7 linked regions of the Tribolium castaneum genome follow. The protein of the gene in region 1 interacts with the protein of each later gene in a pairwise test. Links are inferred from orthologs where the notes say so. Each region holds a gene or a part of one and is shown in the gene's direction. Other genes may lie near its edges. The genes, in order: htt; Ubc4; Rpn10; transcription elongation regulator 1; protein tumorous imaginal discs, mitochondrial; abscission/NoCut checkpoint regulator; huntingtin-interacting protein K.

What was found.
Region 2: the proteins of htt (region 1) and Ubc4 interact in binary tests that used the Homo sapiens proteins (3 or more experiments, as listed by UniProt). The link is inferred for Tribolium castaneum from reciprocal best matches to the Homo sapiens genes HTT and UBE2K.
Region 3: the proteins of htt (region 1) and Rpn10 interact in binary tests that used the Homo sapiens proteins (3 or more experiments, as listed by UniProt). The link is inferred for Tribolium castaneum from reciprocal best matches to the Homo sapiens genes HTT and PSMD4.
Region 4: the proteins of htt (region 1) and transcription elongation regulator 1 interact in binary tests that used the Homo sapiens proteins (3 or more experiments, as listed by UniProt). The link is inferred for Tribolium castaneum from reciprocal best matches to the Homo sapiens genes HTT and TCERG1.
Region 5: the proteins of htt (region 1) and protein tumorous imaginal discs, mitochondrial interact in binary tests that used the Homo sapiens proteins (3 or more experiments, as listed by UniProt). The link is inferred for Tribolium castaneum from reciprocal best matches to the Homo sapiens genes HTT and DNAJA3.
Region 6: the proteins of htt (region 1) and abscission/NoCut checkpoint regulator interact in binary tests that used the Homo sapiens proteins (3 or more experiments, as listed by UniProt). The link is inferred for Tribolium castaneum from reciprocal best matches to the Homo sapiens genes HTT and ZFYVE19.
Region 7: the proteins of htt (region 1) and huntingtin-interacting protein K interact in binary tests that used the Homo sapiens proteins (3 or more experiments, as listed by UniProt). The link is inferred for Tribolium castaneum from reciprocal best matches to the Homo sapiens genes HTT and HYPK.

What each region holds. Positions count from the first base shown.
Region 1 is NC_087395.1:14,799,517-14,802,215, forward strand, and holds the end of htt (huntingtin), read left to right. Parts: intron 1-1,339; coding exon 1,340-1,741; intron 1,742-1,786; coding exon 1,787-2,134; 3' UTR 2,135-2,199; downstream 2,200-2,699.
Region 2 is NC_087394.1:31,294,615-31,298,152, reverse strand, and holds Ubc4 (ubiquitin-conjugating enzyme E2-22 kDa), read left to right. Parts: upstream 1-1,239; 5' UTR 1,240-1,595; coding exon 1,596-1,658; intron 1,659-1,719; coding exon of another isoform or gene 1,720-1,741; exon of another isoform or gene 1,742-1,873; intron 1,874-1,902; coding exon 1,903-2,055; intron 2,056-2,104; coding exon 2,105-2,187; intron 2,188-2,233; coding exon 2,234-2,397; intron 2,398-2,445; coding exon 2,446-2,582; 3' UTR 2,583-3,038; downstream 3,039-3,538. Other genes in the region: Prps (ribose-phosphate pyrophosphokinase 1), read right to left, coding at 693-876, 951-1,155, 1,720-1,741. UniProt on the Homo sapiens protein: Accepts ubiquitin from the E1 complex and catalyzes its covalent attachment to other proteins. In vitro, in the presence or in the absence of BRCA1-BARD1 E3 ubiquitin-protein ligase complex, catalyzes the synthesis of 'Lys-48'-linked polyubiquitin chains.
Region 3 is NC_087400.1:1,080,021-1,083,810, forward strand, and holds Rpn10 (26S proteasome non-ATPase regulatory subunit 4), read left to right. Parts: upstream 1-1,383; 5' UTR 1,384-1,458; coding exon 1,459-1,484; intron 1,485-1,586; coding exon 1,587-1,727; intron 1,728-1,775; coding exon 1,776-1,887; intron 1,888-1,956; coding exon 1,957-2,163; intron 2,164-2,203; coding exon 2,204-2,648; intron 2,649-2,963; coding exon 2,964-3,169; 3' UTR 3,170-3,290; downstream 3,291-3,790. UniProt on the Homo sapiens protein: Component of the 26S proteasome, a multiprotein complex involved in the ATP-dependent degradation of ubiquitinated proteins.
Region 4 is NC_087397.1:11,591,012-11,595,274, forward strand, and holds the start of transcription elongation regulator 1, read left to right. Parts: upstream 1-1,463; 5' UTR 1,464-1,576; coding exon 1,577-1,725; intron 1,726-1,771; coding exon 1,772-2,162; intron 2,163-3,883; coding exon 3,884-4,124; intron 4,125-4,172; coding exon 4,173-4,263. UniProt on the Homo sapiens protein: Transcription factor that binds RNA polymerase II and inhibits the elongation of transcripts from target promoters. Regulates transcription elongation in a TATA box-dependent manner.
Region 5 is NC_087402.1:4,531,503-4,535,568, forward strand, and holds protein tumorous imaginal discs, mitochondrial, read left to right. Parts: upstream 1-1,397; coding exon 1,398-1,560; intron 1,561-1,721; coding exon 1,722-2,480; intron 2,481-2,532; coding exon 2,533-2,726; intron 2,727-2,786; coding exon 2,787-3,000; intron 3,001-3,084; coding exon of another isoform or gene 3,085-3,191; exon of another isoform or gene 3,192-3,307; coding exon 3,308-3,498; 3' UTR 3,499-3,566; downstream 3,567-4,066. Other genes in the region: Cyp4g14 (cytochrome P450 monooxygenase), read left to right, coding at 1-276, 324-509, 557-729; uncharacterized protein LOC103312662, read right to left, coding at 3,921-4,066. UniProt on the Homo sapiens protein: Modulates apoptotic signal transduction or effector structures within the mitochondrial matrix. Affect cytochrome C release from the mitochondria and caspase 3 activation, but not caspase 8 activation.
Region 6 is NC_087396.1:21,498,337-21,501,884, reverse strand, and holds abscission/NoCut checkpoint regulator, read left to right. Parts: upstream 1-1,461; 5' UTR 1,462-1,595; coding exon 1,596-1,643; intron 1,644-1,695; coding exon 1,696-1,868; intron 1,869-1,913; coding exon 1,914-1,958; intron 1,959-2,000; coding exon 2,001-2,229; intron 2,230-2,279; coding exon 2,280-2,504; intron 2,505-2,630; coding exon 2,631-2,879; 3' UTR 2,880-3,048; downstream 3,049-3,548. Other genes in the region: Sec23 (protein transport protein Sec23A), read right to left, coding at 1-342, 391-669; uncharacterized protein LOC103313582, read right to left, coding at 3,182-3,431, 3,484-3,548. UniProt on the Homo sapiens protein: Key regulator of abscission step in cytokinesis: part of the cytokinesis checkpoint, a process required to delay abscission to prevent both premature resolution of intercellular chromosome bridges and accumulation of DNA damage.
Region 7 is NC_087394.1:36,375,353-36,377,515, reverse strand, and holds huntingtin-interacting protein K, read left to right. Parts: upstream 1-1,261; coding exon 1,262-1,618; 3' UTR 1,619-1,647; downstream 1,648-2,163. Other genes in the region: telomerase RNA component interacting RNase, read left to right, coding at 1-148; cytochrome c oxidase subunit 6B2, read left to right, coding at 325-570; mRpL42 (large ribosomal subunit protein mL42), read right to left, coding at 1,648-2,007. UniProt on the Homo sapiens protein: Component of several N-terminal acetyltransferase complexes. Inhibits the N-terminal acetylation activity of the N-terminal acetyltransferase NAA10-NAA15 complex (also called the NatA complex).

The sequences.
Region 1 (2,699 bases):
CGTAAATAAAATAAGTACATAAACATTTTCCAAGATCTCTCTTCGATTCTACTCTACGTTTGTTCAAATTCGTGTCTAATGTCGTTTAGAATTCAGCCAAATTATTCTTTAGAATTGTTTTTGTACTTTTTTCTAGTTTTTTTTGTAAAATTATTCTCTGATTCTTTTTAAAAGTCTCGACTCTTTATTACATTATTTTCATTTTTTTTTAACATTAAAACATTCTCCAATTTTTTTAAATTTTAACCTGCGTCTTTCCGAAATTCTTTCATCGTTTTGTTTAAATATTTTTATCATTAATTTTCTATCTTTTCTCTATTTTTTAAAGATTTTTTTATAATGCTGACGGCAAATTTTAATCCTGGACTCTTCTGTAGATTATTTTATAAATTCTTCTCCAGATTCTTCTTTATAATTATTTTCTAAACTCTGCTTAAAATAACTATTATAAACACTTCTTCATTTTTTACATTTTTTTTAGATTGCACTATGTGCCTTTACAAATTTTTATTATTGTTTCGTTTAGATTTTTTCCAGATTATTTTTTATAAATTTTTCTTTTAGACTGCACTCAAAATAATTTTATAAACTCTTCTTAAACATTCTCCAATTCTCTTTTTAATTTTCTATTCTGTCATACCGAATTTTTTTTCATTGCGTTTAAAATTATTTAGAATTTTTCCAGATTATTTTTTATAACTTTTTCTTTTAGACTGCACTCCAAATAATTTTATAAAGTCTTCTTAAATATTCTCCAAATTCTCTTTTAAATTTAATTCTTAATTAAAAAAATTATCGTTTTGTTTAAAATTTTTCATCATTACTTCTCTACCCTTTCTCTAAATTTTTCCTATATTCTTCTGTATATTTTTTTTAAGATACTTGTCTATTTTATATTCTAAATCCGTTTTTTATGTCTAAAGTTTGAACATTTTGATTATTTTGAAAATCCGTCTTTAGATTACCTTATAAATTTTTGTCTAGATTTTATTTTGTATAGACTGTACTCAAAATTTCTTTAAAAACACGTCTTCATTCTCCAAATTTTCTTTACTCTGGTCTTTGTCAAAATTCTATTATAGTTTCGATTAGAATTTTTCTAGATTATTTGGCATTGTTTTTTGCGAAACTTAACATTCTAAAAACAAAGTTTTTAAAAAAAATCCCGCAGTATCTTAATTATTGATAAAATATTTCTCAAAAACTTATTACATGATCTTAGAACTCATCATATTTTCGAATAATCTCAAACGGGCCTAAAAATTCTCCAAAAATCTTCCTAAAATTTACGAAAGTTGCGAGAAAATCATTTATTTACCCATTTAATTTTGTGCTTTAGGCTTTGGAACGACTGGTGATATTCAAGCCAACCCTCACAAAAGGCATAAGTAAACAAATAATGAGCCTAGCACTCGAAAAAACAAAAACCGAAAATCCGAACGTATCAATCCTGGGCCTCCAACTCCTCCTCAGCTACATGTACACCGACTGTTCCGAGCAGCTCGAAGCTGTGGGCAGCCCCACAAACCCCGACCACTTAGTACAAACAATCGAAAAAATCTCTGCAATTTTCGAGCACATCAAACGTGGCTACATGTCCCAAGTTGAAATTTTGTGCCACGTTCTGCCCGACATACTCAACGACTTTTTCTCCCCGGCCGACATCCTCACGAAGGTGATAAGCGAGTTCCTATCGCCGCAGCAGCCCCATCCCCAGCTTTTGAGCAAAGTTGTCTTTCGGGTGAGTTGTTGCTAGTTCGGTTCGGTTTGTACCATTTTCGGTTAGGTGTTCGAGCGAGCGATTGAGGAGAAACAGCTTCCGTTACTACAAGACTGGGTGGTTTTTAGTCTTTCCAATTTCACGCAATCGTTGTCGGTTGGAATGGCAACGTGGTGCTTGACTTGCTTCTTCATAAGCGCAAGTTCGAACGAGTGGTTGCGGCTATTTTTCCCTTACGTGCAGACGCGTGTCGGTAGGTACGAGTACGAGGACCGGAAAATGCTGTGCATTGCTGGGGCGGACTTCTACAAGAACCTGACCAACCAGAACCAGAAAGACACGTTCATTGAGAATTTTCGCAAAATTAAGGAGCAACCCGACACGCTGTTCACCGATTTGTTATCGTCTCTGTAAATAGTAGGACTTACAACAAATTTAATTATCTCTATTGAGTAAGAAATAAAAAGAAATTAACATTTTTGCTGTTTATTTCATTTGATTTCGGTTCATTCAATGTTTTCGAGCTGACGCACACTCGGCGCATGGAATTTCGGTGTTTCCTTGTGACAACCTGTCATTGTCAAGCCCGACTTATCTTGTGGTTTTTTAATTGTTTATATTAGTAAAAGTGATTGTTTAAACAAATTTGCGATAAAATTTTATTGCAAATAAAGCATGAATGGCCGTTGAACTTTAAGGTAAGCAAAAATGCGCAAATCCCGGCGTTATTCAAACGAGCGGATAATCTCGCTGAGAAGTTCGTCTAACAATGGGATATTTCCTGTTTCTTCACAATTGTCTTTTATCACGGAGTTATTCAACAAATCCTGTTCATAAGTGCTGGTACGTGTGCTGTGTTAAACAACTCGGCTCATTTGAACACGTCTTGTCGTCGCGATTTAATTTCCTTGGGTAAGGTTAGGAGAATAGCTTTGCACTTTCACTTTTATCGCAATTTGCATCAATAATATTCCCCCTA
Region 2 (3,538 bases), on another chromosome or scaffold:
AATCTATTGGCATTATTGAGCTATTGGTCATTCTTCTAATTTGTTTCAGGTGATGGCTAGGCATGGAAGTGTATATTATTTGTATAAAATTTTGAATTTGATATTTAAATACTGGCAAACCTTAATCACACAATCACTTAGTATTTATTATGATAAGAAATAGACTTATTTTTCCACTTTTGTGTCAAGAAAAACATCAATAAAATCTAAAAGTACACAATAATTGTAGTAATAAAAAGTAACAAATTAAAGACTGTCTTTGTTAAATGGATATAGCAAAATCACTTTTAATAGTGCAGTTACATTTATTATGCCTTTGCTAATATTCTAGTAAAAAGCCTTTATGACTATTTAACACATCATAAATCATATATTTCTTAAGCAAAGCAAACATGTTTGAAATACTTAAGTCGCGGCAGTGGCGCCCTCTCAACCACGTGCTCCTTTTGCCGACCTAACGGTAAACAAATTGTTTCAAATTAATAAACTACGTGGTCGGATTGAACTTGTCCAATTATTAAACCAGATGCTTGACTAATTTGTCAGGTCAATAGGAAAAACCACAACCCTAATTGTCCTAAAAACCAAAACTACGGTCTCCACAAACCCGCTTGCAGATGTATACAAAGTCACGTGGCGTCTAGGTTATCTACACATGTGCAGGTACACAATTGGAGCAATTGTGCACTCACCTTGTCCTTCTTGTCTTGCCGAGCGTACGGGAAGCATGGAATGACTGCAGTGACTCTGCTCGCGGACGCAATTTTGCACGCATTTATCATGATGAGGAGTTCCATCAGGTTGTCGTTAACTTCCCCGCTGCCCGACTGCACGATGTACACGTCTTCCCCACGGACGGACTCCCCAATTTCCACGCTAAAATAAAATAATAATAATAAGTCGCAATTTAAGCCAAGTCAATAAGCAAATAATTTCCAAAGCCCACTCACCATGTTTCCAAGTTGCTGAATTTCTTCGTAACCACTTTGCCCAAGTCGATCCCCAGCCGGTCCACGATCCTCTGGGCCAGGTCGGGGTGCGAGGTCCCGCTGAAGACTTTAATGTTCGGCATTCTGCTCTGGAGGATCAACGAAGACTTTTCCAACTTTGCCCGCAACAAGCTTTTAGCACGTACGGGCTGGGAAACGGGCATAACTGCAAAACGCGCAGCCAATCAGAAGCGGGGTCTAATGTTATCGGCAAACAACGCTCCAGAATGATAAACCTTGTGACGAAATACTCCCTGCTTATCGAAGATTTCCGTCGAAAATATCGCCGAAATTGTCAACAGAAATCGCGCGGGGGGGCCCTTACGTCATCGTTGCAGCAGTCCGAGGGAAAATCCCCGAATATTTGCGAGATTTCGGCCGATTTGGCGCGCGCGTAAATTCCGTAAAGTTGGCTATAATGCTATTGAAAACAAGTGACATTTCTTCATTTAGCATTTCATAATTTGCCTAACTTCAGTGAGAAATTAAAAGTGTGAAAATCGATCTTTAGCCAGTGTATTTTTTACTTTTGTCAACAAATCGCTATTTTTTAGAGCCACGGTTTATCTGTTATGTTTTACTGCATTTAGGAACTTCCCCACCAGAATGGCTAACATAGCAGCACAAAGGATACGACGAGAGTTTAAAGAGGTTATTAAAAGTGAAGAGGTAGGAACTTCGCAAACACTGTTTTTCTGTTATGTCATTCTAACTCCTAAACGCCACTTACCGTTCTCGGTTTCCTCGGACATTTCGAATTTTCACACTTGAAATTGTCAGTACACAACGTAAAATATTGATTACTGAAAAATGCCCCCTGCCATAAATTCAAAGCGAAGGGGTTATCACTCCAACGTCATTTCGTAACAATCAACAAACTTGGCTAATACGATCGTGCTTGTTTGAAATTTAGGTAGCAAAATGTGCCATCAAAGTGGAACTCTTAAATGATAGTTATACAGAGCTCAAAGGCGAGATCACGGGCCCCCCGGACACGGCCTACGAAGGGGGCACCTTCGTATTAGAGATTAAAGTACCTGAAACATACCCCTTCAATCCACCCAAGGTACGTTTCAACATAACCAGGAAAAAAAAGACTAAGAGTTTTGTAACAGGTCAGGTTCATTACGAAGATATGGCACCCGAATATATCATCAGTAACGGGCGCTATCTGCTTAGACATTTTAAAGGACCAATGGTGCTTTCTATTACGTGGTAGTATTTGTTATTAAATGAAATTCTAGGGCTGCAGCTATGACGCTGAGGACGGTGTTGTTGTCGCTCCAAGCGCTGCTCTCAGCTGCGGAGCCCGATGACCCACAGGACGCCGTGGTGGCGAAGCAGTTTAAGGAAAATATAGAAATGTTTCAAATGACGGCCAGACATTGGACAAATGTTTACGCAGGCGGTAATTTATGCAGTTTGCAATTAGGACGGCGTGACGCTCTGTTTGCAGGTCCCCATGTAAATAAAGAATGTGACGATAAAATAAAAAGGCTAGTTGATATGGGAGTGGAGGAGCACCAGGCGCGGGTCGCTTTGTCGTCGTATAACTGGGATATAGAAAGAGCAACTGAACAGTTATTTAGTTAGTGAACTATTTTAATCCGCCATTTTACTATATTCTCTCTACACTTTTCCAACAGTTGGTTATGAAACGCAGTTTCATTTTCTACCCAATAGATTACTGACTTAAATTATTTTGAAGGTGTACAAGATGAATAAAAGGATTGTTTGCATTTACCTTATGTCTCAGTAATCACTATACGAAAGTCTTGTTTTGGCTCTTGCGAACTAATTTCAACTTTTGTCAATATTGGTGTTTGAAATTTATTGATGTTACTGATGCTTATCGTTAGTTCTTTCGAGTACAAAGTCTTTCAATTAATTACGGTTTATTCTTGCTAGTGAAAACCACCAGATTAGTTTTTTAGCACTTCAAGTATGGTAATTGAATGAAATGCTTTGTATAACCACTTTCCAATTAGTTACTGTTTTTATTTGTAAATCGGCGATTGAATACTGTTAAAATAAAATTTTAATCTTGAATATACAGGCACTGAGGTGAGTTACAACCCTAAGACAATCCACGTCCATTTGAAACTCAAATACTCCATGAAAATAAAAGTTGCGCATTAACTCTTAATTTATGCACTGATTATGCAACAGATTTACATAAGTAGCACCACGAAAGGTCGAGACTCCTTCGGTACTATTTCAAAATAGATTTAAATTCAATTACAATCACCTATTATTAGTCCAGTCATTGAATAATTTCAATGGTCCAGTCAAATAAGCCTGTAAATCGAAATGTTCAAAAGCTCGCTTTTTTTATATAAGTTACATGGAGCAGTTAAAAACGTTTAGACAAAGAATTTTTTAGTTGAAGAAACGAAATTAAAGCGTTTTTTACAGATTATTCAAAATCGCTGAAAGCTAGAAAAAAAAGTTTTAAACAAAAATTGTAAAGCCGAAAATTTTGCATAAAAATGTTCACTTGACTGTTTTTGATATTAATATTAACAGAAAGTTAGGGCGGTTAAAATAAT
Region 3 (3,790 bases), on another chromosome or scaffold:
AATCACTTGGGAAATACTTTCATCTCAACTTGAAATAAAACCGAAACGTCTACCAGACTTTAAATTAAAAAAAAAAAACATGGCTTGATTATTTGCATCCGTAATTTCCCCGAATCTGCTTTAATATTAAATACAGTTCAAGGTAGTACACGTTTTTTTGCCATTGTCTAATTTGTCTATTACCAGTAATGATCTCAAGCCATAAACTTTGAATACAAGGACAGCATTTTACGCTAATTAATTCCAGACCTCGTTAGGTTTTTAAATTTATTAAGATTAGGTCGATTTAAGGCACTTTATCACACACAAATAATTAATTACGATCTGATCCATTTTTTTAAATTATTTATGGCATTAATAGATAATACGCTTGTACAAGACAACAAAAGTATAGAAGAATACCAATTATACCGCAAAAAATATAGAATAAAAAGTGAATTATTTATGTTAATAAAATATGCGAAATTATTGATTGTGGAAACTAAAAAAACAGTGCTGCAAACCCCAGTCAAAAAACCCAAATTTTTAAATCATCCCACAGCCTACTATCAGCACTCCGTTCCTGTGTAAATAACAACAGGTAAACAGCGCTGTTGACACAGTAACGACGGTCCCAATTATAATAAAACCCACTCTAATCGATTAAATTTCGTGTTTACATTGAAAATCTCTGCCCAAATTACGCGCCCTAACCTATCCGACTTTTAGACGCATTACCCCCCCAGAAACAAAAGAACATCGCCACGGAAAAAGCCGCCAGCTCACCTGGTTTTGCGTAAAATCGTCCCACTTTCGAGCGATTACAGCATTTTCTTGCCAATCACATCCATATTGTACGAATTTGTTTTTATTCCAACACTTTACACTTGTTCTGCTGTTCACCATTCGCTACCTGTCGGATTTTGACACTACACCTGAGATCGCAATCGCACGGTGAGAAAATCCCTAACGCGCACGTGGACAGAGTTCAAAACTTTTTAATGCAATTTCGTGTTTCGGGTCATTTTATGGATTATTTTCGTTCGTGTGGCGAATTGGCACGCTAGGAAGTGCTTATCGCGTTACTTTTGCGGCAAGGTTTTGCGCCTAAATTGGGGGAATTACCGGGGGCTGGGCCACGAACCGGCAAAAATTAAACAAACGAAGCTAAAACTCCCACACTAACACGATTTTAGACTCACCTGCCTGGAAGTTGCTTTTTTATTAATTATTATTTGTCTAAATTATTAATTATCACAACCAAAGAGTTTCAGTGGCAGAATGTCACAAAAACGGGGGCTTGAGTCACTTAAATACATTATTTTATTAATCTTTCGATAAATTATTACGAAGCTTGAAGTTTTCGCGCACTTGAAGTTTTTGGGTTGGCGGCATTGATTTGCCCAAGCAGACGTCAGTACCAGAATTTTCGTAGTTTTTTGGCCAAAAGTGTTCAATTTAGCCCAAAAACCTAGCAAAATGGTCCTAGAGAGTACGATGATTTGGTAAGTGGCCCCACTTTTGTAAAAAATCGAAAGTGGCGTCAAAATTGTGCACCTAACCTCAAATTCCAATGACTTGGCATTATTTGTTTGTTTGTGCCCCAGTGTGGACAATAGTGACTACATGCGGAACGGGGACTTCCTCCCGACTCGTCTGCAGGCCCAACAGGACGCTGTGAATTTAGTTTGCCACTCGAAGACGAGGTCAAATCCTGAAAATAACGTCGGATTGTTAACCCTAGCAAAGTGAGCCCCCCTGTGCTTGCAAATCGTGTTCTGATTGATTGGTTGCAGTGTTGAAGTATTAGCGACTCTTACAAGCGACGTGGGGCGCATTTTGTCCAAGCTGCACCAGGTCCAGCCCAATGGGGACATCAACCTGCATACGGGGATCCGCATTGCTCACGTAGGTTTTGAGAAAAACCCAAAACTATTTAAAAAAACTACAAAAAAAATAAAATAACTTTGTTCCCAGTTGGCACTGAAGCACCGCCAGGGCAAGAACCACAAAATGCGAATCGTGGCCTTCGTTGGCAGCCCTGTGGCGTCCGAAGAAAAGGAGTTAGTGAAATTAGCGAAAAAATTAAAAAAGGAGAAAGTAAACGTCGATATAGTCAGTTTTGGTGAAGACTTCACCAATAATGAAGTCCTGACGACTTTTATCAACACTTTGAACGGAAAAGTATTTATCCGATTTTCCTATTCAAATTTATTAGCTCTAGTCTTTGAAGGACGGCAGCAGCAGCCACTTGGTGACGGTGCCCCCTGGCCCCCATCTGTCGGACGCTCTCATCTCCTCGCCCATAATACAAGGGGAGGATGGTACGGGCGGGGCCGGTCTGGGGGCTTCCGGTTTCGAGTTTGGTGTGGACCCCAATGAGGACCCAGAACTGGCGCTGGCGCTGCGTGTGTCCATGGAGGAGCAGAGGCAAAGACAGGAGGATGAGGCGAGACGGGCTAAGGAGGCTTCGTCTACTGAAACGGGGGCTAAAACTTCGCCCATTAAGGAGGAGCCCAGTGAGGAGGCAATGCTGGAGAGGGCGCTGGCGATGTCCATGGAGGAGGATGGGGAGAGTGCCCCTGCGGGGGTTCCCACTGTCGATTTTGCGAATATGACCGAGGATGAGCAAATTGCGTTCGCGATGCAGATGTCGATGCAGGATGCACGTAAGTGGGGGCTTAGGTTGTTGTAAATTGTCCGAATGTACTGAAATTTTGCATGCTTACGTAATAATCGGGTGAAAACAGTGAAAGATTTTTTTTTAATAAAATTTTGGGTTACAAGCGCTGAAAAACGCAAAAAACACTAATTGTTTGGTGAATTTTGTACTTTGTTGTTGGTGTTTTTTTGGCTTGTTTTGTGAAAGTTTGTTTAAAAAGGAATTGAATCGTCGCTGGTTTTTCGGTTTTCTTTTTAAAGAAATTTCGTGACTAGTTTCTGGTGAAAGTTTGCAAGATTGCTTTTATTTGGGGGTGTTGTAGAAGAGTCGAGTTCTGGGAAGAAAGAGGAGCCGATGGAGGTTGAAGGAGATGAAGATTATTCGGAAGTAATGAATGATCCGGCGTTTCTGCAAAGTGTTTTGGAGAATTTGCCAGGAGTTGATCCGCAGTCGGAAGCTGTGAGACAGGCGGTGGGGAACTTGAAGGATAAGAAGAAAGAGGATAAGGAGGATAAACAGAAGAAATAAGTTAGGGATAATTGTTACTTTAGTTATTTTTTTACATAATAATTATACATTTATATGCGGAACTGTATTGATTTCATTTGTAGTGTGAAGTATCATTTCAAATAAATGGATTAACTAATCACCTCATTGTGTTTTTTTTTTAATATCTAAGACCTTCTAAAAAGTTCGAGTCACGGATTAAAATTAATAAAAACTCGTACTTCAACTAAGATATCAAAAAACAACAGACTTTTTATTTAAAAAGTTTGTGTTAAAATATCGGCAAAAGACGGTCAGCACCTGGGGCCTTGGTGGCTGAGTGGTATAAGCGCCACTTACGACGGGGGAGGTCGCGGGTTCGAACCCGGATCAGAGTAACAATTTTTCTATGAAAAAAAGTGTAGAAAAGGTAAGGAAATAACACGTAAGCAAAAATAAGAGATTGAGAGAACACATAGACGTATAAACGTAAAGCGGAGCATAAAACTGACAGAAATAAGAAAATAATGCGGCAAAAGGTAAAAGTACGTAAAGGCGCCAAATTGTAAACGTAAGAGCACATTGTAATAAAGGAAAAATACCTTTTGTTTTGAGAGAAAAAGAGATGAACGTAAAGGTGAAACATAACTTCAAACTTTAGCG
Region 4 (4,263 bases), on another chromosome or scaffold:
ATTCTATACTTATTATCTCTTACAGTTTTTGAAAAAACTCACAAGAAACGGATTTTACTTCGTAATTTTTATAGTAATCAAGTAGACCTTGCAAATTCGTCAACAATTGTCAACTTGAACATTTTATTTAATTTTTTGACTGATTTATTAATTATCTAATAAGCAGTAAAATATTAATATTTAATTATGGTTTATTATCATAATTTATGTAAAGTAACTCATTCAGTCTGCCATCGAATTTTGAACTTCTTGAATGAAAACGGTGATCAAATAGAATTTTTTTTTAATTAATAGCACAATTTTATCATATTTTTCGAAAGTTTAGTTGATTAAAAATGAAAATAATTAGGTAAAATTCAATTTCTTGCGATTATTCCAAAATCTGTAAGAGATAGATATACAGGGTGCTCAAAAACTGGCGCACCAACTCAGTGGTACGTTATTGAGAAGCAAGTGCAGATTACGGGAAAAATGTTGAAAAAATTCCTAAAGTCGTATTTTAAAAAATCTGAAGCTACAAACCTATTGTGTTAACTTCTTTAGTTTTCATTATTTTTTTATATTATTATGTTTCATACCAGGTAATCGTTCCGTAACAAAACGATGAACAATTATTTTAAAATTTACTATCAGATTTTAGCAGTTTTTTAAATTTAAAAAAACTAAAATTCATCCAAAAAATCACAATGTGTAGATGTGCCAATACTGGGAATTATTTCCTAGGAAACCGTTTCAAAAATAATTTATTTTTATTGTTGCTCAAATTCTATTGCGATCATGACTATTAGACAACGTTGCCACATATCATTTACCTAAAATTAGTTATTTATCAATAACTTTAATACAAAGAATTTTTTTACTATTTTTACCTTTATATGTAACCACTTCTCTGCCACACACCATTGAGTTGGTGCGTCAGTTTTTGAGCACGCTGTAGAAGACTGTTTTATAATCATTTTTTAAATTATTTATGCACTTCAAAAAATTGATAGATAATGTAATTTATAGTTTCAATAAGAGATCTAATAATTTTATTTTACTGTTTTACTATTTTACAATTTTATCAATCTCATTTAAAAAAATAATTCGGTAAAAAATGCGACGTTGGCGTTTATAGTTTTGAAACAGCTAATACTAACAACTAGGGTATATTTTACTAATTCAAAAATGCAATAAAAATAGGTGGTTACTATTTGAAAATTTAAAGAATCAGCCTGTATGAAATGATCATTTGTGGTATTTCTTTGTTGGCGAAAATGTTTTATTTTTTTAAGGCGTTTAAATAAATTATGCGGAACAGTCGGTGGGCAGTGTTATGTTTTAAAATTTGTTGTTTTAATTATTGTTTTTAAAAGAAAATTTATGTAGAAATCATCCAAAAAATTCAAACCTAATTTCGCGCGACTTTTGGGGAAAATTTGTCGCTTGTGGTTGGTATCTGGGAATCAACAAACAAAAAACGCGCATGCGCATTAACGTCATAAACCGAAGAAGTGCATTTGTTGACGCCATTTTCCGAAAAATAAATCTTAATTGACTCTAAATGGCTAAATCGATTGAAATTAAATAAAACACAATGGAAGAAACAGACGTCTCCATGGAATACGACGGCGCCGACGTCGACGGCGTCGCCCAAGAGGAATACGAAGAGGACGGAGGCTTCGAAAACGACATTGAACTCGGAGATGACTTCCAAATGCGAGGCCGAGGACCTTCAGGGTTCAGGTATTCAAGTTTTAAACCGCCACACTTCCTAACGGTGTGATTACAGGGGCCGCGGACGCGCGTGGCCGGGTCCTCCAGGTCCGCCAGGACCGCGTGGAGAAGGTCCCCGGTTTCGAGGAAGGGGATTTGGGCCCGGTGGCCCTCCTCCGTTTCGTGGACGTGGAGGACCACCTCCTCCGATGTTTGGACGTGGGGGACCTCCCAGAAACCCACCACCAGGGCAGGGATTCAATGGACCTCCGAATTTTAATGGGCCTAACTGGGGAGGACCGATGGGGCCCCCGGGGACGATGGGTGGACCGCCCAATATGATGGGACCCAATGGACCGCCGTTCGGACCACCGGGCATGATGGGGGCGCCCCCGGGTGGACCCATGGGCGCTCAGGGCGGGACGACCAATGGGCAGTTTCCACCAGTAGGGCAAAATCCCACAACAGTAAGTTTTTTCGACGAGATTTTGCGAATTACCATCTTTTTGGAATTCGAATTTTTCAAGTTTATCTGTTCGAGTTATCAAATAATAAATACAGATAAGAATTTCACGTAGGGTTTCTATTGCCTACACTTTGTTTTTCTTGATTTAAAGTCTAGGTATTCCCGGGAAATATCGAATTATTACTAAATCTTAATCAAATAAAGAATTAAACTAGACTTTTCCAAACATTTTCAATAAAGATAAACACTTTCTTAAAATAGACCTGATATAACATTAAATTTTGCGGAAAACATGTCACCAAAAATAAAGTAGAATATAATTTATTTCGTAGTTTAACCCATCGAGAGTTCATCGGACGATCGGAGATTTGATTCTTCGGAATATCCTGATTATCCGTAGTTCATCTTTATGTAAAAATAACATAATTTTTGCTTTTTCCGTGTGCTGAAGCACGTTTGTTTGTCACTTCGATACATATTTTTTTCGAAAAATTGGCTGATCAACATTTCAAATCCAAACTGACATTATTTTGACTTGTATTACTCGATTAACACGTTTATGAACAAACCAAAAAAAAAAAAGGTAAAATAGGATTGAAACAATATATTATTATACGAGTTTTATAAGACGTTCTATTGCGGCACGAATGGTTTTGGAGCACGACGAAGCAGTGCTCCAATAGAATGAGTGTCACAATTAAGTCTTATAAAACGAGTGTAATATACTATTTTCTATTTTTGTTTGTTTCTGTTTAGTTTAACTTATCAAAATCTGTTCAAACTATTTTCTCTTAATTTTGTTAATTGTTCTTTTTCAATAAACGGCTTGACGTTGTTGATAGATCACACTAAATTACAGTGATGACTGATGACACCCAGCGCAGAACTGTCAATATAACTACAAATTTACTAAAAGGAGTTGTACAAAAGTTCTCTTTGTAAAACTAACAAGCGTTCATTTAAGAAGTGCTTTGAAAATAAAAAACAATTGATTACAAATGTTTGTGATTAATTCGTTCTTTTATAACTTTACTTTTTGGCAGTTAAAAAGATAACAGATTTTCATAAAGATATTTATTTATTATTTATAAAAACTTTTGGAAATGTTTTTTTTTGTTGTTTAACACACGTAACACATGGCCTTTGAACACTATTTATCACTCATAGGTTATGATGTTATGAATTTTGGTGAACTCGTGTAGTAGGAAATATCAGGCCATTCGGAGAGTTTTCTTAATAATGAACACATGATACTTTCAGTTTCACAATGAATAATTTGTGAAACCAAAGTAGAAAAAATTTTACCTTTCCAAACTTTTAAGACCTTTAAGCTGGTATTTGAATCAAAATCTCACCGTTTTTTTGCGAGATGTCATTAATACATACAGAAAAATCGCCAAATTACATTATTTTTGCCTTTTGGAGCGTTTTATCTTTTTTTAGCTATAAGCGGAATTACTTCGCAAGCCGAATAAGCACTAAATGGAACCAAAAATTGAGTTATTTTTTCACACTTTCAAATACATTTTTGAGTTACATATTTAGTTTTTTTCTTGTGAGTTTGCTGCACCGTGCTGAAAAATGACTAAATTAATTATTTTATTTAATTTTATAGCCTCGATATTATTTTTCCTCTTTCGTATGTTTTACCACTTTGTAAATAATAATTTATTATTTATCGAAGTTCGACTACAAGAATTCAATTGTAATTGTTTTTTGCAGGGGTTAGATGCAAATAGTGAAATTTGGGTAGAGACTAAAACCTCAGAAGGCAAGTCATATTTTTATAATGCTCGTACTAGAGAAACCACTTGGACTAAGCCAGAAGGTCCTAATGTAAAAGTAATCTCTCAGGATCAAGTGGAAGCAATGGCACAAGCGGCCACCACAGGTTTAGCCCAAGGAACGTCAACTGCAGCTCAGGCGGCGTTAGCGCAGGCTAACGTTTCAAATAAACCTGAAGGTACCTCTAATCCAATTTCTATCCCAAAAAAATTAACGAGAAATTTAGTTGAGTCAGAGGAATCGAAAGGCGATGCCAAACAAGCTGGGAACGCAATGCCTCAAAACATGTTAGCGGGTCCTCCGCCAGGTATGCCCCC
Region 5 (4,066 bases), on another chromosome or scaffold:
AGGAAATTAAGGAACAAGTCGACACGATCATGTTTGAAGGCCACGACACCACGGCCGCTGGCAGCAGCTTCTTCCTCTCGATGATGGGCGTCCACCAGGACATCCAGGACAAAGTGGTACAAGAACTGTACGATATCTTTGGCGACTCTGACCGGCCTGCAACTTTCGCCGACACTCTCGAAATGAAGTACTTGGAACGGTGTCTTATGGAAACTTTGAGGATGTTCCCTCCGGTACCCATTATCGCGCGGCAATTAAACCAAGACTTGAAATTAGGTATTTTCCCCAAACTTAATTTTAACATTTTAATCATTGTTTTGAAGCATCTGGTGATTACACTGTTCCTGCCGGTTGTACTGTCGTTATTGGTACTTTCAAAGTTCATCGCCTTGAGGAGTATTACCCTAACCCGGATAAATTCGATCCTGATAACTTCCTTCCGGAGAGGACTGCCAACAGGCACTACTACTCCTTTATTCCGTTTAGTGCCGGACCTCGCAGCTGTGTCGGTACGTTTTGTATAATGTTTTTTTTGTGTTTTTAAGCGCTTTTCTAGGGCGGAAATATGCCATGTTGAAACTGAAAATACTGCTCTCTACGATTTTGAGAAACTACCGAATTTATTCGGATTTGAAAGAAAAAGATTTCCAACTCCAAGGTGATATTATTCTTAAGAGGGCCGAAGGATTTAAAGTCAGATTGGAACCCAGGAAGATGGCCAAAGCCTAAATCGAAATTATTTATGCGTAGTTGTAGATTTGTATATTTGTAGAAAATTGGGCTTAAATTATATTTATGACAAATAGAGCTAGTTGACGAACATTCAACAAACACTTTTTATTTTATCCCTTCCCAAAAAACTCACAATTATTAGTAAAATAACCGAACGTAACCAAAATTCAACTTAAAAAGCTGAAAAGTCTGGAGTCAATAACTAATGTAGAAAAAAATTATAATTAAATTGTATTCATTACTAATTGATGAAGTTTCAAAAGCCTTTTATTTTATTTTGCCTCTCCCTTCGACGGTATTTTCGGATAAATTTAGTTAAATAACGACCAAAACACTAATAATTAATTACTACAAAAAATAAATGATTCATAATCAGACGTTTTAACACAACAAATTGTTATCAAATAATTCAAAAATAAGATGTATTGTTGATTGCATACACAGTAACACATAACGTTGAGGCATGTTTGTGATGGTTAAAAATAAAGGATACTTAAGGTTTTTTGATACTTTAGAGATAATTTGCTTGATTTTTGATTGCATTAGCTATTTGCTGAATAATGAAAAAAATCGTCTATAAAAAAATTGGCGCCAGGACACCTTGGCATTTGCTGAAATTCATTGATTGACAGTGTTACCACCACGCTCTGCCTTTTCCTAAAAAAATGGCGAATGTCAGAAGTCTTATTGGCATTTTGTGTACAAAACAGTTAAATATCTTCGTGACACCTCAAGTAAACAAAATTTCAGCAAGATTTCTACACAATTGTCTCCACTGTAACAAATTTTCGGTCAATTTCAATGTCACAAACTCTCCGGTAAAAAACGGTGAGTTACAGCATGTCTTCATAATTTGCATCATTTATCAGTCCGAACCTTTGAACTTCACTTTTTCCGGGTCTAATAACACAAGTGAACGACTGTTGCACAAAATTATGCCTTTTTTTGAGCTGCCTTGGCATTTTTTCTAACCTAACCTCATTTTCCAGTTTTACACATTTCATCCCGAAAAATCCACCTAAACCCGGTTTTGCGTGCGGCGAAAGACTATTACCAAATTCTGGGGGTTAGTCGTAACGCATCTGGGGCCGAAATAAAGAAGGCTTATTATAAACTAGCGAAAAAGTATCATCCCGATGTCAATAAAGATGACCCAAATGCGGCTAAAAAATTCCAAGAGGTGTCCGAAGCGTACGAGATACTTGGCGACGAAACCAAACGGAAGCAATTTGACACGTTTGGCGCCACGTCCGAGCAGATGGGCGGCATGGGGAGCGGCGGTGGCCCCCGTCCCGGCGCCCAAGGCTTCGCCGAAAGCTGGCAATACCAGTCAACCATTAACCCGGAAGAACTCTTCCGGAAAATTTTCGGAGAGGCCGGTTTTGGCAAAAGCGGGGGATTTGATGATTTTGCTGAATCGAATTTTGGGTTTGGACAAGCACAAGAGGTTGTGGTTAAATTGAGCTTCTTGCAAGCCGCAAGGGGGACTAATAAGGATATTACTGTCAATGTTGTGGACACCTGTCCCAAGTGTCACGGCTCGAGGTGCGAACCAGGCACCAAGGCCACACGGTGCACACATTGTGATGGGACTGGGATGGAAAGTGTGACCCGGGGGCCCTTTATTATGCGGTCCACTTGTAGGTATTGCCAAGGAAGTCGTATGTTTATCAAACATAAGTGTGTCGAGTGTGAGGGAAAGGGACAAACGGTGCAAAGGAAAAGGATCACGGTGCCAGTACCAGCAGGTTTGAGAAATTTGTGTGTTAAAATTTTTTTTTTACGAGTTGGGGGTTTCAGGTATTGAAGACGGTCAAACTGTGAGAATGTCGGTAGGGCAAAAAGAATTGTTTATAACGTTTCATATTGAAAAATCGCGCTATTTCAAACGAGACGGGGCTGATGTACACACGGAGGCCGAAATTTCCGTGGCGCAGGCACTTTTAGGGGGCACCATCCGTATAGAAGGGTTGTACGAAGACCACATGATACAGGTGATTTTGTCCCCTAATTATTTTTTTTTTGTAATTCCCGATAATATTTTTTTGGGTTAGGTAATGCCGGGAACGTCGTCACACACCCGAATAAGACTTGCCGGCAAAGGCATGAAAAAAGTAGATGGTTACGGTCATGGTGACCATTATGTCACTTTCAAAATAGCTGTACCAAAACAACTTTCTCCTAAACAAAAAGCCCTAGCCCAGGCATATGCCGAGCTGGAAACTGATACTCCGGGACAAATTTTAGGAGTGACGTTAAAAACTGATGGTAAGTTTCTGGGGGTTTAGGGGGGCTTGAAATTTAGCTTTTGATCCTTGTTTTTGCAAAACTTACGTAAATTTTTGTTGACAGGCAAAGACAAGGACGAAATGCCTCTCGCAGGTTCTGAAGCTAAATCTCAAGCGGAGAGAGAAAAACCGAGTCTTCTTTCAAAAATCAAATCGGCATTGTTTGGCTAATTAAAACAATGTATAGTTTGATTTTTTTATTTGTATATAACAGTTAAGTTACTAAATAAATAGACTATACAATAGAATTTTTGTCATTTTTTGTTAACATTAATATATTTTTATAGGTAGCAAAATTTTTGTCTCGAAAGACAAACAAGAACTTTTAGAAGCCCTTAGGTTAGTGCTACAAGGTAAGAAAGTCGAAACCGCCAAAGAAAATCACTCACAAAAAAACACTAAGAAAGTTGTAGATAGAGATGTTGATAATGAAAATGTTAGCGACACTGAAGAAGCAAAAAGAAATAAAATGCCATAACTGTTTTGTTAACTAGTTTTATATTAAAATGTTATTCTAAAGAAAGAATAAACCGACTAGAATCTAAAGTTTTGTTTAATTCGCATTAAGGCAGTCCTGATAAGGCTACATCAGCGCGATGTTGCATCACAGACATTCGAATTACCCACACGAGTCATTGACTTTGTGACTTGTTTATTAGAAATTTTAATTTAAACCAACTGTAATTATGGGGTGTCTTTTATGCATATTTTTTATGGAAAAAAAGTGTGGGGTACATACCTCTAAGCAACCCCCTACACACTTTACTTGTCTCAATAAAACCTTCGGTTACTTTAATATTTTTCAATCGCCCTGACGCACCCTTACTCTCCGGCCCCCCGGAAGTGATATGTATATCAAACCAAAGTGCAGCGCGACTACTAAGGCACTTCCTACACAGCTCAAGTGTTCGTCAAGAGCCCCAATTTGAGGCCGATGTCGACAACGCCCCTCGTTGCGGAAGCCTGGGTCAGAGACAAGACTAGGGCCGCTAACGTGACAGCAAATTCCAGGTACAACGCGTAAAGGACTCTAACGTGTCCGTAAG
Region 6 (3,548 bases), on another chromosome or scaffold:
CCCAATCCCGAGCATCTCCTGGATTTGTTTAGCTGTCAGGTCTTTGGTCCCCCGAAAAACGTACGATTTGCTACAGCCCTCAGTGCCCAGTTCGTGAACTTGGACCATTTTCCCGAATGTGATGAGCCCTATGAGGGCCGTCGGCGGGAGAAGGCTCAAAGACATCTGAAGCGAGTCTTTAAGGGCCCCCAGCTCCTCCTCGTCCATGCACGTATCGACGACTAGGAGGTAGATGGGGGGCAGGCATTGGGCGCGTGTTATTGTGTACTCAATGGTGGAGAACATTGGCATGAGTTCGGCCGGTTGGTGTTGCTCGGAAATGGCCGCATATTGAGGCGGAAACTTTAATTTTTTATGTAAAAAAATATTTAATTTAAATTATCTTTTTACCGGATTCCGTTGGAAACAGAAATTGCAAACCCACAGCTTTGCCCGGTAGTCGACTTGACACAGCGGGTTCAGAATCGCACGACAGTTGTTACGGGTACATAGGACAGGGTCGTATTGGATGGGGGGCAGGTCTTGGCGCTCCTTGATGGGTTGGTAGAGACAACCGAGGGGGACCACCAAACGGGTGGCTTCGATGCGACTCGACGGCCACACGTTCCAAGTGAAACGGATGCCGTCGCGGTCCTCATTCTGCTGGATGTATTCTTCGTAGGTGGCCATCTGAGCAGCCCCCTTGTTACTTGGGCGAATTTTACGATTTTGTTGAGACTTACCGCAGAACGGCTTATGCCAAGTGGTCACAAACACAAAAAACGCGTCAAATGCTTGATTTTAATTTATTTTAAAAGTTTAAAAAAACATTTTACATTTGTTACACATTTCAAGATCCACGTCATATGTCACCTGTCACTGGTGGCGACATCTATGGCTCACAACAAGGCTATTGAAAATTTTGTTAAAAAATCGCTAATTTGGGGCTGAATTACGTCACGACCGCGTGTAATTGGTCGTTTTTTTAATAAATAAACTGTAACGACAAGTTTTTACAAATTTGGACGATATGTGAAGAAATAAACGATTTTTTTTCGTGGTGTTACTTCAGCCACTTCAAAAACAATTAAAGCCTTTAATTAATTAAAGAATTACTAATTCAATTGGAATTACTTCACCGTTTCGTCGCTTAATAATTATTTTGTCCATGAAAGTGGTTTAAAAAATGGGGGAAAGTGTATTCCTGACGTCACTCTAGCCATTTTGGCTACCAAAGAAATGGTCAATTTAATTCAAAAAACTACTAGCTTGATGTAGTATCATGTCATGGTTTTGTACAATTAATTACTTAGTACTTAAAAGGGCGTTTTTCTCAAATATTGGGGGGAAAGTCAAATTTTTTTCTGTAGCGTCACCTTAGCCACAGTGCGTCAACAAAATTAAAGAATTTATTTACAAAACCGTTGGTTCAAGGTAAATTTAAATACGGGAACTGAGCAATGAGTCACCTTGTTGATGATACACTTTAATAAGTCGCTTTTTGCAGCAAATGGGTGCAAATCAAATTTTTCCATGACGTGCCTTCAGCCACTTGCAGCGAATCAATTCAGCTGTCACAAAAGTCTAAATTTGTAAAAAATCTCTTTAATTCTATTATGTCTTGTAATCACTGCAATACGAAATTTAATTTTTTCCACAAGGAAGTGCGTCCGTTGTGAAATTGCGTATTAAAAGTGTTAACAATTTTTTTTTCAGATGGGCTGTTCAAATTGTGGACTGTCCTTTTGCAATAAATGTCTGAAGCAAAAATGCAAAATCCCCAACAAGGGCACAGGCGAATTCAATGTGTGCAAACTGTGTTACTCCAAACTGGCATCAGGGACAAGCGCGACACTGCCCCAAATCGCGCCCCCCGACGCTTTCATAAAGTATCTATCGTTGCAAAAACCCCTCAAATGACCCTCCCCTTGCAGTCCCAGGCGTCCCGTTCCCCGTTTCATGACCCAGACCTGCCTCAGGTACTAGACTAAACAGTGTCAAAAGTGTGATCCATTTCGTAGGCGATTGGAAAATCTGGAAAACCCGGCCGCGCCCCCTATTACAATGTACAAAAACGACCCGAAAATCCAGGCTTTACGCAGCGGTTTGTCGCCGGCTGACCAGAAAATTCTGGATCGGTTGGAGAAGCTTAAAGATGAGAAGGGGCCCCCGCCCAGTGAGGGGGAGCTAAGGAGGCGGTTGGCCAGTCTTAAGGGGGAGAACGACTACGTGGAGGGGCCCAGCAGACTTGTAGCTACTCCCTGTGTTTTTGGTTTTCATTCATTAAACTGGGTTTTTAGTTGTTTCAAGTTGATTCAAGGACGGATCAACAGAAAGCTGACTCGCTCCTTGAACAGTTTGTGAATGAGAGGGACATCGAGTTGGCTCACAACCCCCAGGAGGAGATTGAGGCGCGTTTGGCGACTTTGAGGGAGCAAGGAGTGAGACCAAACGAGGGACCATATATTAGTAATTTGCACGACTCTAGTAGCTCTGAGGAGGAAGTGGATAAAATCACGAAAAAGGTATAACTCCTTAGGTGGCTTCTTGAAAACAATGTAAAAACTGTAGTGAAAGCAGTTTCTGCGGTTGTTTTATTGAAACTACTGGTGTCAACATTATTATTATTTCCGCTTAAATTCTCTTGGCAGATCATGGACGAGGTGGCGATTGAGGAGCGTTGCCCCAAATCAAAAAAACTCACTCCAAGTTCGTCAAACGAAGATGAAAACAACGTACGATCGTCTCCGGAGCTTCCGTGGTGCGTTTTGTGCAACAACGATGCGAAATTCCGGTGTTTTGATTGTGGAGGTGATTTATACTGTAGCGAGTGTAATGTTGAAGTACACAAAAACTGGGGAGATACCGATCACAAAGTTGTTCCATACAAGTCGAAATGAAATTTCGTAGATTTAGAGCAAGTTACATATTTTTACAACGGATTTTCAATATTTTTGCTTAACATTCCCGGAATTAAAAAATCGTTGATGTGTCGAGATTTAGCGGTGAATGTGGATATATTGTACGAAGAAATTTAATCAATGTCATGTAAATAAAGATTTTAAGAGATTTGCGGTTTGATTCAAGCCTTTAAATTTTTTTTAAATAAATCAGGAATTTTCACAAAAACCATTCTCAAGTACAATAAAAAGGTATAGAATTTAATATAAAATACTCACAAACTAGCAAAACAATTATCTCATTATCTACTAATTCCCTTCCTCTGCTCCTTCGCTTTCACGTACTTTCCGATACATTCGGAGAAACTCTTGAAAAACGCCAGACCTTTGGGGCAGTCTTTGGCAAAGTTGAGCAACTCTTGCCTGTTGACGCCCCCGATTTTGTTAATAATTGTCACGTGTTTGTCGTAATCTATATTATCGACATCGTTCATGTCCACCCTCACATCAACCAACAACTCCAACTCGATTTCCATAATTTTATAAATCGCCCTATAAAAAAAAAACGAAACAATGAACTACAAACAATTACAAAACCACTTACACAAAATCAGGCCCAAAAACCATGCAATTAATCGAGCAATAGTCAAGTCGGAAATTCCTAATTTC
Region 7 (2,163 bases), on another chromosome or scaffold:
CAAAACGGGAATGGTGCAGAAAACCAAAACTATGACTCAGGAAGAGAGCGACGCGCAAGACGCGTGGACGTTGTACATGAAGGAGGTTAAGCGATACAAAGAGGCGTGTTGTGATGATGATTCCAAGACGAGGCTGCTCGTTAAATAGACTGTTTTATCCTAGTTTTAAGTCATATAAGCTTAAGGTGTTTTTTGTACAAATCATGGACGCTATCCAACGCTTAGGTAACTAATCGCGTCACCATTGATTGTTTGACATTTACTCGAAAATCAAAATTAATTAGTCACAATTCGACAAGTCCTTTCTCTTGTTTTGCAGACACCATGCCGGAGGTTCTCAAATTTGAAGATTTGAAAACAGCCCCCTTTGACCCCCGTTTTCCCAATACCAACCAAACTCGCTACTGCTACCAAAGCTATTTGGATTATCACCGATGCCAGAAACTGAGAGGAAAGGATTACAAACCATGCGACTACTTCAAGAAGGTTTTCCATTCAATGTGCCCCAATGCCTGGATTGAGAAATGGGATGATCAAAGGGAAAATGGCACATTCCCTGGCAATATCTAAACATTTCTTGTCAGTAGATATAATGTAGTTTACATTCTTTTATTATTCAGTGTTAAACTGTGTAAATAATTTACGTTAAATAAATAATGTCCTAAAATAACTCGCTTGATTTTCGCGCTATTTTCTTTTCAGATCTTCTAACTCTGGGGAACAAGTTTTCCCTTTTCAGACCTCTCATAATTTTCTTTTCTGACATTCTCTTTTCAAAGTCTCCTTCTTTAGAGCATTCTCTTCCTAAACTCTTTTCTCTTTTTAGAACCTTCATTTCTCAGACTCTTTTCTCACACCCTTTTTCATTTTTCTCAAGACATCTTTTATCTTCCGAGATCCTTATCTGCTTGCTCTTGTTTTCAGTTCCTCTTCTGAAGGAAGAGTTTTCTTTTCTGTTATATCTCTCTTTCAGAGTCTTCTCTTCTCAATTGTTTTTCTTATTCTCACAACCTTTTCATTTCGACTCTTCTTTAGTATCCTTATTTTCCCTTCTCAGACAATCCAGTTAAAGGTGTAAATAAAATATAAGGAACAATAAGTTCTCCTTTTTCGTAGTCTGTGCTGGAGCGTTTTTTTGTTTTTGAAACTCCCGCTCTTTTGTTTTGTGTTAGTTACATTCCTTTTTCGGGTTACACGCTTGTCACTTGACGTAGAGTCGGCCCTAACCTCACATTTGGCCATTTTTTGCAAAATTTGAACCATGGCAGATGAGGAAACCGTGAACGGCAGTAGCGAAGAACTGCCCGAAAAGTCGCAAAAGAAAACCGCAAAGTACGACAGTGGGGCCGCTGACCTCGAGAAAGTCACCGACTATGCCGAAGAAAAGGAAATTTCGACACAGAACGTAGCTGGTGCCATTTCAGCAATCGGCGATCGCCGTAACAAAGAAGCCCTCGAGAAACAAGCCCGTGAAAAAGAATTGCTCAAAGTATCAGTCAAGAAAGAAGACGTCGATCTCATCGTTCGCGAAATGGAAATTTCAAGGACGCAAGCCGAACGAACCCTTCGAGAATACCACGGGAACGTTGTCAATGCACTTGTAGCTCTAACCAACTAATTTATTACGATTTTGTATTTAAATAAATTCTACAAATATTCGCGATCCATTGGTGTCTTTTTAGCGCGTTTATCACGCGCACGAGGGAACCAACGATGTTTCGTCGTGTGCGTGATGTTCATCAGCTCTTGCCGGGCTTGTTCAGGTGTTTTTTTATTAAACACTTCCTTGAGTTGGGGCGTAAGCTGCGTTTTAAGAACGGAAGTGTCTTCGACTTGTTTTTCAGGCAAAGGTTGGGTACATTCGTACGGAAAGTCCTGTTTTGGGTGCCACGCCACGTACGTGCTTTCGTCGTCAGTTAAGACGATCTTATGGTCCGGGAATTTGGCCGAAAAGAGCCTTTTAGTGACCGTGCTGATAAGTCTACTGTGACATAACCTCAAACTCATTTCTACAAAAATTCCCAAAGTTACGAGAACACGAAACCGTTCTAGATAACTCACTGAATGCAGTAGTAGTGTATTTGTTGTTAATACGTACAATTACATTGACTAAATTACTTTTTTGGGCTTTAAATATTCAAGTGTTTGTAAAACCCAAATTAC